Saccharomyces cerevisiae S288C: one gene and its partner. The gene in region 1 interacts genetically with each later gene. Each region holds a gene or a part of one and is shown in the gene's direction. Other genes may lie near its edges.

Region 1 (6,608 bases):
GTATTTGTATTGAATTACTACTCACAAACTATTTAAAACATCAAGCCAAATATATGCGGAGCACAGAGAAATATTTGTGAATTATATCTTTTGTTGGAAAGACAAGCAACTATCCTAGCGACATTAGGATTGCCAAGACATCCGGTTTTATTCAGACCCTTACATCAGCAGCAGCACGTTCCATCTTTTCAAACTTCCTGCCAAACATTTATGAAGACATGAAACTCTAAAATGTCATCTATTTATAGTAGTCATATTACTATTATATTATTACATGCGGTGTAAGAAGATGACATAGGATTGGGACACAGTCATCGAACTTAATGGACGCTGAAGTGCAAGGATTGATAATGTAATGGGATAATGAAACATATAAAACGGAATGAGGAATAATCCTAATATTATCATGTAGAAATATCGATTCCATTTTGAGGATTCCTATATCCTCTAGGAGAACTTCTAGCATATTCTATATACCTAATATTATTGTCTTTGTGAACAATGGATTCCCACAAATTATCTCAAAATTCACAAATATCTCATTCTCGCATTCCAACAGTTATGTTACTCATTCTATTCGTTTGTTATGTGTGTTTTATGAACGTTTGGGATGACGTATTGTCATACTGACGTATCTTATTTTGAGATACAACATAGTTGTATTTTTAGCCTCCTTAGCTTAGTGGTAGAGCGTTGCACTTGTAATGCAAAGGTCGCTAGTTCAATTCTGGCAGGTGGCATTATACCGGTATTATTTTTTTTCCCTTTGTTCTTATTTCTCTATCATTTATAACTTTATGATTTTTTAAAGGTTGAATGGTCAATGTGAAAATTAAAACTAAAAACATATAGTTGACAAGTGAGAAAAAGAGCAAAAGGGAGAAAAGAAATTGTTAGAATAAAACCATGCTGTTAGAATTGATTTCTTATGCAGGAACCGTTTCAGGGTTTCTTTTTTTAACACTTTCAATTGCATCGGGTTTATACTACATTAGTGAACTTGTTGAAGAACACACAGAACCCACAAGACGGTTTCTCACAAGGGCTATTTATGGTATAATATTAATATTAATTCTGCTACTGTTACTAGACGGTTTCCCGTTCAAACTTACACTTTTTTCCATTGCATGTTACATAGTATATTACCAAAACTTAAAAAGTTTCCCATTTATTTCGTTAACCAGCCCAACTTTCCTATTAAGCTGCGTATGTGTGGTCTTGAATCACTACTTCTGGTTCAAATATTTTAATGATACGGAAGTTCCCCCACAGTTCAAATTTGATCCAAATTATATACCACGCAGACGTGCTAGTTTCGCTGAAGTAGCCTCATTTTTTGGTATATGCGTTTGGTTCATACCATTTGCCTTATTTGTTTCTCTGTCAGCTGGTGATTATGTGCTACCAACGACTAGTGAGCAACATATGGCTAAGAAAAATGATGACATCACAACGAACAACCAGCCAAAATTTCGTAAAAGGGCTGTTGGGTTAGCTCGTGTAGTCATCAACTCGGTAAGGAAGTACATCTACTCTCTAGCCCGTGTATTCGGTTATGAGATAGAACCTGACTTTGATAGATTGGCTGTTTAGGATTGCCTTTTTTTTTAACATGTAGTTAGTTTTTCTTTATTTGAATATTCTAAATAAGAAATATGTGTAATGCTCTGCCAACTATTTTGCACAGGAAAGAAAAATCACCAATACAATACTACTATATTTTACCCAAGTTAATACGGGAAAGTATATTTTCTTTTCCATATTTTTCTTTTTTATTGACGTTTGCATTTTTTAGAGCAACTAGTAAACAAAAAACCAGTCAGGCCCAGTAGATTAAGTATTGTCATTACATAGACAAAGGCAAGAGAAAGAGAGCATTTTCTTTCGGTCTCTAGTTATGTCTGTTAAAGAGCATAACGAAGAAGATATTATTGGTGATGAATTACAGAATTCGAGGCAACTCTCCATTGATTGCGACTCAGTTAAAATTTCACTAAGGAACACATATTGGACCAAAGACTATACAACAGGTATCAAATTATTCATAAAACATATGAAGAGAGAAAATGATTTGCTGATTAAAGACATCAAATTTTACAATGATTTTGTCAACAAATTTTGGAAACCAACATTGAACAATTTACAAAAAATGGAAGCAACCAATTCAATGAATAGCAGGCTGCTGGAAGTGATGAGCAAACAGTTTAATATAATATCAACAGAGCAAGTTGAAAGAGATTGTAAAATTCCATTGCAAGAACTAAGAGATCTTAATGAGAGCTTCCTTCGTGAGGCAGAAAACGATTTGTCATCTCGTTATTCAGCTTACATTAAGGATTTAGTCGCAGCTAAAGAGGCACTAATTGGATGTGAGAAAAGAGTTCAGTCTATATATAAATTGAAAAAAGCCAATACGCCAGTGGAAAATTCTTCCTCTGTTTTTGATAATGGAAAGGATAGTGCACCGTTAACCAGGTTGAACTTCGTATGCGAGTTTCCTTACACTTTAGACGAGAGGTTAAAATTTGAGGATTGCGACCAATTTATGTCATTTTTGCAAACCTTGAAGGGAAAAGTCATCCTGGAGAAAAGTGTCTTTTCCGTTCCAGGATTGTCAAATCAAAGTTTCCAAGGCAGGTCATTGATCAAAGAATTGAAAAAACTTGAACCCAGACTAAACCTGTCCTTATTTAATATCGATAGGATAGGTAACGAATTCATCCAACTGGGTATAATACAAGAATATTCCCTGAGTTTTTACTCTAGCAAAGTTTCTCAGTTTGACCAGGAAAAATACTATTACTGGAACAGTGAAGTCCTTGCTACGCAAGAGAGTAATGGTAATGCTGGAAACAGAAAAAAAAAATCGTATGGTGAGTTAACACACTCCGACAATGAACACGAAGAAAAGTCCAACGTTTCATCTATCAAAACATCTATATCCGATTGGATCCGCAAAGTTAGTCAACATGATAATGATGATTGCGATGCAGCGGGAAGTACAGATATGAATAAAAATGAGTGGAAGAGTTTAAAACAGCAACTTGAATCATCACAAGATATTTTTTTCTCCAAGTGTTGCCAGTTGGAATATTCTAAAGTGCAGTTGGAAAAAACCATTTATGATTATTGTAAAAATTACTCTAAAATGGAGGACGGAATCAAACGAGCTCTAGAATCATCAAACATGATGTTTCAACAAAAATGTGAAAAATTTACTGACTCACCTGTGTGTTCTCTACAAGAAGCACAACTGCCACAGGAAACTGCCAATGCGGATGTAAGAGGGTTTTTCCTCAGGGATAATGGCATACCCTTTCGCAGGTGGAATATCCTAGAAGCGAGTGATCCAGTCGACGCTTGCAAAGAAATCTCCATAAAAAGCGAAAAGTTTTTCTGTGGTAGTGAAATAAATAATGAACTGGCTGCTCTTGATACGTTAGGGGCAATAAAGATTATACTGCGGCAGATTGAAAAGGAACCAAATGCTAATAAAGTCATACAAAGTTGGCACAGGGATATTGATTTTGTAAGGGTTTCTAATTTGAAAAGAGACTTATTGGGGGAATTCAAAGGATCGAAAACTACCGAAAATACAAACTCTATAATCACTGCTCATTTTTTTGAAAACTCGCACAGCTATGTCACTAATGATCTCGTCGGACTGATAAAATTATGGCTGTTAGAGCTACCCGACAGCCTAATACCTTCAAACCACTACGATGACTTAATTAAGGCCGAAAAATCGCTAACATCCCTATGTGAACAGTTTCCGACGAGCTCCTTAAGGTTTCTACAAGAACTAGCAAACCATTTTCAATTGATCAATAGCAAATACTCACTTCCGCCGCAAACAATACAAGATTTGTTTAGAGACAACAGTGACATAGACATACCATTGGCCCATCACTTCGTAAGAAGAACAGGCTTACAGAACCCTATCGACATCAAAATCTTGTCACCAACATTATCTACATTTTTCATCAACGAAAGAACTGTAGAAACTTTGCAAACGTTGATCGCAAACAGGATCACGACGGCAACTACTGCGACACTCACTGAACCGCCGACGATAATTATAAAGGATACAACGGCACCTATACACTCTACCCCTAAGCCACCGCCAAACGACAAGGATGGCCATTTCATACCTCGGCCATTCAAGACTAGTTCTACTCCGACAACCCCAGAGAGACCTAAACGTAAGAGTGGTTTATTCCTTCCCATCAACGTCAACGATGTCCCTTCTACATAACTCCATGCATGCTACATAGTAACTACGTAAATCACCTGCTACCTCTCTGTTCTTTCGTCCCGCCTCGAGGTTGTGCTGCTTTTGTACCTATTGTGGCTGTCGGTGTTACATTACGGTGCCTCGGTGTTACGCGGTGCTTCGTCCTGGTGGTCCACGCGGCCTTGCGCTTTGGCCTTGGTGGGCTTCGAGGCTGTATTATATAAATGGGCCTGATGTTCGTTAAAAGCTGCAGTATTGTTCCTGAGCTTGTTTCTTTTTCAAAGGTTTCCTTTTTTCTTAGTGGGGTCCTTTCTTACATAATAAAGTAAATAGCCTGATACATATAAACCTGTATTGTTGCCATTACAGAAAAAAGCCACTTTCTATACAAAAACTACAATAAAATGTCTGCTGATTTCGGTTTGATTGGTTTGGCCGTCATGGGTCAAAATTTGATCTTGAACGCTGCTGACCACGGTTTCACTGTTTGTGCTTACAACAGAACTCAATCCAAGGTCGACCATTTCTTGGCCAATGAAGCTAAGGGCAAATCTATCATCGGTGCTACTTCCATTGAAGATTTCATCTCCAAATTGAAGAGACCTAGAAAGGTCATGCTTTTGGTTAAAGCTGGTGCTCCAGTTGACGCTTTGATCAACCAAATCGTCCCACTTTTGGAAAAGGGTGATATTATCATCGATGGTGGTAACTCTCACTTCCCAGATTCTAATAGACGTTACGAAGAATTGAAGAAGAAGGGTATTCTTTTCGTTGGTTCTGGTGTCTCCGGTGGTGAGGAAGGTGCCCGTTACGGTCCATCTTTGATGCCAGGTGGTTCTGAAGAAGCTTGGCCACATATTAAGAACATCTTCCAATCCATCTCTGCTAAATCCGACGGTGAACCATGTTGCGAATGGGTTGGCCCAGCCGGTGCTGGTCACTACGTCAAGATGGTTCACAACGGTATTGAATACGGTGATATGCAATTGATTTGTGAAGCTTATGACATCATGAAGAGATTGGGTGGGTTTACCGATAAGGAAATCAGTGACGTTTTTGCCAAATGGAACAATGGTGTCTTGGATTCCTTCTTGGTCGAAATTACCAGAGATATTTTGAAATTCGACGACGTCGACGGTAAGCCATTAGTTGAAAAAATCATGGATACTGCTGGTCAAAAGGGTACTGGTAAGTGGACTGCCATCAACGCCTTGGATTTGGGTATGCCAGTTACTTTGATTGGTGAAGCTGTCTTTGCCCGTTGTCTATCTGCTTTGAAGAACGAGAGAATTAGAGCCTCCAAGGTCTTACCAGGCCCAGAAGTTCCAAAAGACGCCGTCAAGGACAGAGAACAATTTGTCGATGATTTGGAACAAGCTTTGTATGCTTCCAAGATTATTTCTTACGCTCAAGGTTTCATGTTGATCCGTGAAGCTGCTGCTACTTATGGCTGGAAACTAAACAACCCTGCCATCGCTTTGATGTGGAGAGGTGGTTGTATCATTAGATCTGTTTTCTTGGGTCAAATCACAAAGGCCTACAGAGAAGAACCAGATTTGGAAAACTTGTTGTTCAACAAGTTCTTCGCTGATGCCGTCACCAAGGCTCAATCTGGTTGGAGAAAGTCAATTGCGTTGGCTACCACCTACGGTATCCCAACACCAGCCTTTTCCACCGCTTTGTCTTTCTACGATGGGTACAGATCTGAAAGATTGCCAGCCAACTTACTACAAGCTCAACGTGACTACTTTGGTGCTCACACTTTCAGAGTGTTGCCAGAATGTGCTTCTGACAACTTGCCAGTAGACAAGGATATCCATATCAACTGGACTGGCCACGGTGGTAATGTTTCTTCCTCTACATACCAAGCTTAAAGGAAATCTCCAACCTGGACATAAACCAAAAAAATTTAATGAAATAGATTAGTTATAGTAAAAGTAATCATAATAATAAATAGATAAATAAATCCAAATGCAATTATAAATAGTATATGAAGTTATGTGTTTTCTAAAATATTAAAGGTTTATAAACGGGGTCCCGAAACTATCTCCATTTCTTTTTTTTTTTTTACGTAAGGAAAGGCAAACAGGCGACACAAAATCATGAAGTCAGAAAATAAAATAAAAGTGAAAAATTTCACAATAGTGCCTATTATCATGATAGAAGTAGAGTAGAAAAGCTAGCAACAATGAGAAGCTCTGGCACATATGAGAATGATCCTTCTGGGGAAATAACCTCAACTTCCCCAAAGCAGTCGAAGCAGAAAAAGCCTACCAAATTTAGGGAAAGAATGCGCAGGTGGTTACAAAATGGGAAAAATAACAACCACCAAGGAGAGGAGGATGTTCCTGAAATATTTAACAAGAATTTTTAT
Region 2 (5,652 bases), on another chromosome or scaffold:
GAGACCTAGGGTTGCCAGTGGTGGCCAAAAAATCCATATATTGGTATTCCAAAGCTGCTGCTGCTCAGCCGAAGGGGAATCCGATGGCAATGTTATCCTTAAGTGGATGGTACTTAACGGGAGCACCAAATATTTTGAAACCAAACAATAAAGAGGCATTCAACTGGGCCTTGAAGAGCAGCAAGTGTTCAGACGGTAAATTAGCCCGCACTGAATTTGCCTTAGGATTTTATTACGAAAAAGGTGTCGGTTGTGAAGTTGATTTGGATCTGGCCAAACAATATTATCAGAGGGCTGCAAGAATGGGATTCAGGAAGGCAGTTGATGCTCTTCGAAGTTTGACAAATTAACGAATTCGCATTTCTTTATTATGCCATAAATCAAATATTATTCAGGACATTAGTAAAATATTGTAACATTCTCCTCAAAAATGAGAGGAGAATAAAAATAACAAAAGCGAAGAAATGCGACGTCATTTACTCATTATTTTAAACTAAATAAAAAAAATATTGTAACTACTTATCGTTGTAATGATATCTTTTCTTCAAAAAAATATATAGTTGGTGATAAATATGACCTCTTTGAAAAAAAGAAAAGGAAATGAACTACTAGCTAGAAAGAAGAGAGAAAAAAAAAAAAACTAGATTATGCGTGTTGCAATTTTTGCTTTAGGCCGTGCGTGGTTTTGTGTAAGGTTTCATTATTCTTGATGGGAATCGATTGGCTTTCGGCGGGTTTAGTGGTGTGTCTAGTTGGAGCTGGAACGGTGATTGGATCTGGGATTTCCTTGCTTCCTACCAGATTGTAATCACCATCTTTTAGGTTTTGCTCCAGTTCACGCTGATGAGCTGCTAATTCTTCTTCAATATCAACTGTTCTTGGATCATATGTCTTGACATCTGGTTTACTGAAGTTTTCATGCCTGTTGTTGAAATCCTTCTCTGTTGGTATTTCCTGCTTCCCAGATTTTAAGGTGCCAATATTCTCATTCTGAGAAACTGGATATTCGGCTCGGTTATATTGAGAGGTAGAATAGCTGTCTTTGCCACTTTTGGAGGCTGACGTGTCGTTCATGTTGTCAAACTCAGAAGAGGAAAGGCCGCTCTTGTTACGTTGAGAAGTAGAAGATTTGTTTTCGTTACTGATAGAGGTTGAGTAGCTGCCTTCATCGGTTTGGGGTGGGATAATCTTGTCAATGTATGGTTCAGTCTTTTCAACCACCTTGTTGTAATTTTTGTGAAACCTATGAATAACTAGATCCTTCATCCTGTCGATAGCACGGTCAATTCTAGCCTGCTTTCTATCGTAGATTAAAGGCACAGTGTACAAAAAGATGGTGGTCATTATCAAAACAGTGTTCATAGAGAATATAGCAAATAGGCCGTGCAAGAAATAGAGGGAAACACCAATGGTAAAATTGTTTCTTGTTCTGTGTGCAAACACTAACTTTCTGATTCTGTCCTCTAACGCAGGCAGACGATCCAATTCGCGGTCGATATGAGGCTTTAAGACGCCAACAAGGTCCGGAGACTCTTGCATGCCAAACCTAGACACTACTCCTTTATCAAATAGCACCTTTGTAGAAAGCTCCACCGCAAAACTCGTGAACAACACCATGTATCCGATCTTAAGTAAAACAGAAATAACATTGACATTTCTGAGGATCAGCAAACTCACCAGAGTCGCAGCAAAGCTCGCACCCGACTTGCTAGGGTTAGTCCAGTATATCAATCCCGTCTTGTTCTGATGACCTGCTTCACCGGGAGCGTTAGCATTTCTACTGTTATTCAAATTCGCGTTCTTATTGGTAGTCGTATTCCTATTCATGTTGATGATAGTTTGTGGCAAGTTGAGACAAGCAATTGAACAAGTTATTACTACTATTGCTACATAATTGATCTGCTTTTCAATCCCTTTTATATATTTTTTTCATCAAAGTAGCAAGCTTTATCGTTTGAGGGTGGAAATAAGGGTGAACAATAAGGGGAGATTGCCTATGCGCCTAAACGTCACCGTCTAACCTTGTTCTCCTTTCAACAAAAACGCCTTGCGTTCTTATTGCTAGGCCACAATTACAAGCATCTCAAATGGGGCATTATCACACCGGTACCACCGACACATTCTGCTGCTACCCTTGTAGTTTAAGTTAACTTTGCGTCCACTTTTCGTAATTATTTTGCTCCCTGGCAGCACCGGGGGTAAAGATGTCTTTCTGGCTAATGCAGTCATCCTTACATTGTCGTTCGTACGGCAGTCCAGGATTTTTGACCATCTTTACGCAGCAATTCCCATATAACATTCCTTCTCTCCTTGTCAATTGACCCTGGGGAGCGTCTGACCAATAAGAAACCGATGAGTAAGCAATGAAGGTCTTTTTTTTGGCTACGAAAATTTCAGCAATTTTTTAAAGTGAAAAAGTAAAAAAATCAAACATAAAAAAAGAAAGAAAATGAAAAAGTAAAGGAACGCTTTATATAAACGAGGCTACTAACTATCTGTATTATTGCTACACATAGCCTGAATTCAAGGTCATTGGCAGATTGACGCTCGTGTTTGCATGGTACAGGGCTGTATTAGATTTTGAATATTCTGTTCTTCTCATCCCGTATTAATATCTAGAACAATAGAAAAAAAGAAAAGCGAAGAAAATCTAGATAAATTTGTAGTTGGTAAATACACACGTACTATGGGCCCTGAAACTCTACATATTGGTGGGAGAAAATCGAAATTGGCGGTAATACAATCCAACCATGTTTTAAAACTGATCGAAGAAAAGTATCCGGACTACGACTGCAAGGTTTTCACTTTGCAAACTCTTGGTGACCAGATTCAATTCAAACCTTTGTACTCATTTGGCGGTAAAGCTTTATGGACAAAGGAGTTGGAAGACCATCTTTACCATGACGATCCCTCAAAGAAGCTTGACTTGATCGTTCATTCTCTGAAGGACATGCCCACTTTACTACCAGAGGGTTTCGAGCTGGGGGGTATCACTAAGCGGGTCGATCCAACAGATTGTCTTGTCATGCCCTTTTACTCTGCTTATAAGTCTCTGGATGACCTTCCAGACGGGGGGATTGTGGGAACCTCATCCGTGAGAAGATCTGCTCAGCTAAAAAGAAAATACCCACATTTGAAATTTGAAAGTGTCAGAGGAAATATACAAACTAGATTACAAAAACTAGACGACCCAAAATCTCCGTACCAATGCATCATCTTGGCGTCTGCTGGGTTGATGCGTATGGGGTTGGAAAACAGAATTACGCAGCGATTCCATTCGGATACAATGTACCATGCAGTTGGACAAGGCGCCCTGGGTATAGAAATTAGAAAGGGTGACACCAAGATGATGAAGATTCTTGACGAAATTTGCGATCTAAATGCAACTATATGTTGCCTTTCGGAGCGTGCTTTGATGAGAACTTTAGAGGGGGGTTGTTCCGTTCCTATTGGTGTGGAATCTAAATACAATGAAGAGACTAAAAAATTACTATTAAAGGCCATTGTAGTTGACGTTGAAGGCACAGAAGCAGTAGAAGACGAAATTGAAATGCTAATAGAAAATGTTAAAGAAGATTCCATGGCGTGTGGTAAGATACTAGCTGAAAGAATGATTGCCGATGGCGCAAAGAAAATTCTGGATGAAATTAATTTAGACAGAATCAAATGAACACCATTAATTTGATCAGTCCAAAAACTCTATTATTACTAACTAAAGTTCCCTTTTTTTTTTTTTTTTTTTTTTTTTTCCTTATCTCCTTTATCTTTCAGTTATTTATTTCCCTCTCATTCCTCTCATATTACTTGTTTAATTTAATGACCATTTTCAAATGACCACTGCATAAATATTTTGTCAATTAGAATATGTAATTCCTACCTTTGTTTATTTTATACTATTCATACAAGCTTCGTTGTTAATATATTTATTATAGCTTGTATATAAAAAATGAAATCTTGATTTATTAAATTACACTTGGTGAACTTCTAAAAAAACACTAATACATGTGACAACTATATACAACGTAAGAAGTGCAATACTAATCTTCTTGTCAATTTTCCAGTCGTTTAATGGTATCAAAACCGTAAATATCAAAAACGCGATCAGAATTCCGACTCCAGTATTGATTAAGTTTTTATCCACTTTAAAATCAATATGATGCATTAAAATATTACTATCTCTGCCACTCACTATTTTTCCAGTTTTGTCGCCTAGCATTATCATAATTCCATCAAATCCGACGCCAAATAAGAAATATAAAAGTGGACTGCCAAAACAAGCTCCTATCGCGATTTCTAAAACACCTATTTTGACGAATGTAATATTTGACACTAAATCACCAATCGAATTACCCCATGTAAAAATGGTTAAACCTAGTATTGTTTCCGATATATTAAACACATTTATCCAATGCGTTAACGTGACTACAATTATGTGGACAGCTTTCGAAAGACAGGCCAATGACAATAAAAATGCTACTGTAAAGATTATATCAGAGTTGAACTTGTTCGGTATGGTCCTAGTTTTAAAATATAATAAGATGGCTATCACCAGCGATAAGATGAGCAACCAAAATGAAAAGTTATTTGTGATGAGTTGGTTGAGAATTATTGGCGAAGCAATCAATTGAATATTCTGTAGGTATGAAAGGGGTAAGTCATGGTCTGTTTGACTTATCTCTGATGGTATTGAAAGATAAAGAATTATTGATACCGGCGTAGTGACTAATAATGACAAGAACTCAAAGAAACCAATTTCCAAGGACACATCTGTTAAGTAATTGTAAAGTTGGAAACTATGCCAAGCGGTTCTACTCTTTGTTGAACAGAGAGATAGTGTTCTATCGAGAATTATATCATCTCTCTCATACTGTAAGAGAGAGTTGTCGATAACATCTGATATGCTGTTCAAGGCATTGGTAGATTCCTGTGTACGTGTAGCCTCGTCATTTAATATAATATTATTACTCCGGACCAAGTTTGGAATGCGATCGCAGCTTAATGATTTCTTGGAGGTTTTTTTTTGTGGCACAGTCAAAAACAAACTTGTGGGTTCATTATAGTAAGTTTGATACTCGTTTTGGGGAGCAGAGATTGCAGTATCCAGCGCATTTGAATTTTCCCCATTCCGTAGGGACAAATATTTGTAAAAATCCTTAGGTTGTAATGAATTCATCCTTTTTCTTATTAAAGGCCTCCCTTCTTCATCTAAAGAAGCTTTAGTAAATAAATGAGTATCATCGGAGGGTAAAGACAACGATTTTACTGTATTGTTAAAAAGATTCTGCTTCTCCCATATATTCAAAAGATCTTGTAACGTCATTCTTACCCAGCCATGATAATGCGACCGTAAATATCCCCGTATTCTACGTCTTATTAAATCCCTTCTTTCAGGTATACCTTGATTAAATCTCGAAATGTTATCCAGGGATTTACTTGGTAAACGAGTTGGATCTAAACTAATAGCGTTGTCCTCATCAATCTGTGTATCCCCCAAAGGCCTTACATATCTTATTCCATCGTCTGTGGATGTAATGTCACTGGTAGTCGTTAATGTAAATCGATTTGGAACAGTGATATGATTATTTGCAAGTACAGTTTTTTTTATTTCTACCTCTCTTTCTAAAGCATCATTGATTTCGCAGGGATATTTGT

What was found. Genes that interact genetically often act in the same process or in processes that back each other up.
Region 2: mutations in GND1 (region 1) and HEM3 together harm fitness less than expected from each alone (positive genetic interaction), as found in Saccharomyces cerevisiae (one large-scale study listed by BioGRID).

The regions. Positions count from the first base shown.
Region 1 is NC_001140.6:466,322-472,929, forward strand, and holds GND1 (phosphogluconate dehydrogenase (decarboxylating) GND1), read left to right. Parts: upstream 1-4,638; coding exon 4,639-6,108; downstream 6,109-6,608. Other genes in the region: SVP26 (Svp26p), read left to right, coding at 907-1,593; RGD3 (Rgd3p), read left to right, coding at 1,898-4,255; SSP1 (Ssp1p), read left to right, coding at 6,423-6,608. UniProt on the Saccharomyces cerevisiae protein: Catalyzes the oxidative decarboxylation of 6-phosphogluconate to ribulose 5-phosphate and CO(2), with concomitant reduction of NADP to NADPH.
Region 2 is NC_001136.10:90,780-96,431, reverse strand, and holds HEM3 (hydroxymethylbilane synthase), read left to right. Parts: upstream 1-2,686; coding exon 2,687-3,670; downstream 3,671-5,652. Other genes in the region: ACK1 (Ack1p), read left to right, coding at 1-350; RTN2 (Rtn2p), read right to left, coding at 646-1,827; YDL204W-A (uncharacterized protein), read right to left, coding at 2,147-2,299; YCX1 (Ycx1p), read right to left, coding at 3,968-5,652. UniProt on the Saccharomyces cerevisiae protein: Catalyzes the tetrapolymerization of the monopyrrole porphobilinogen (PBG) into the hydroxymethylbilane pre-uroporphyrinogen in several discrete steps.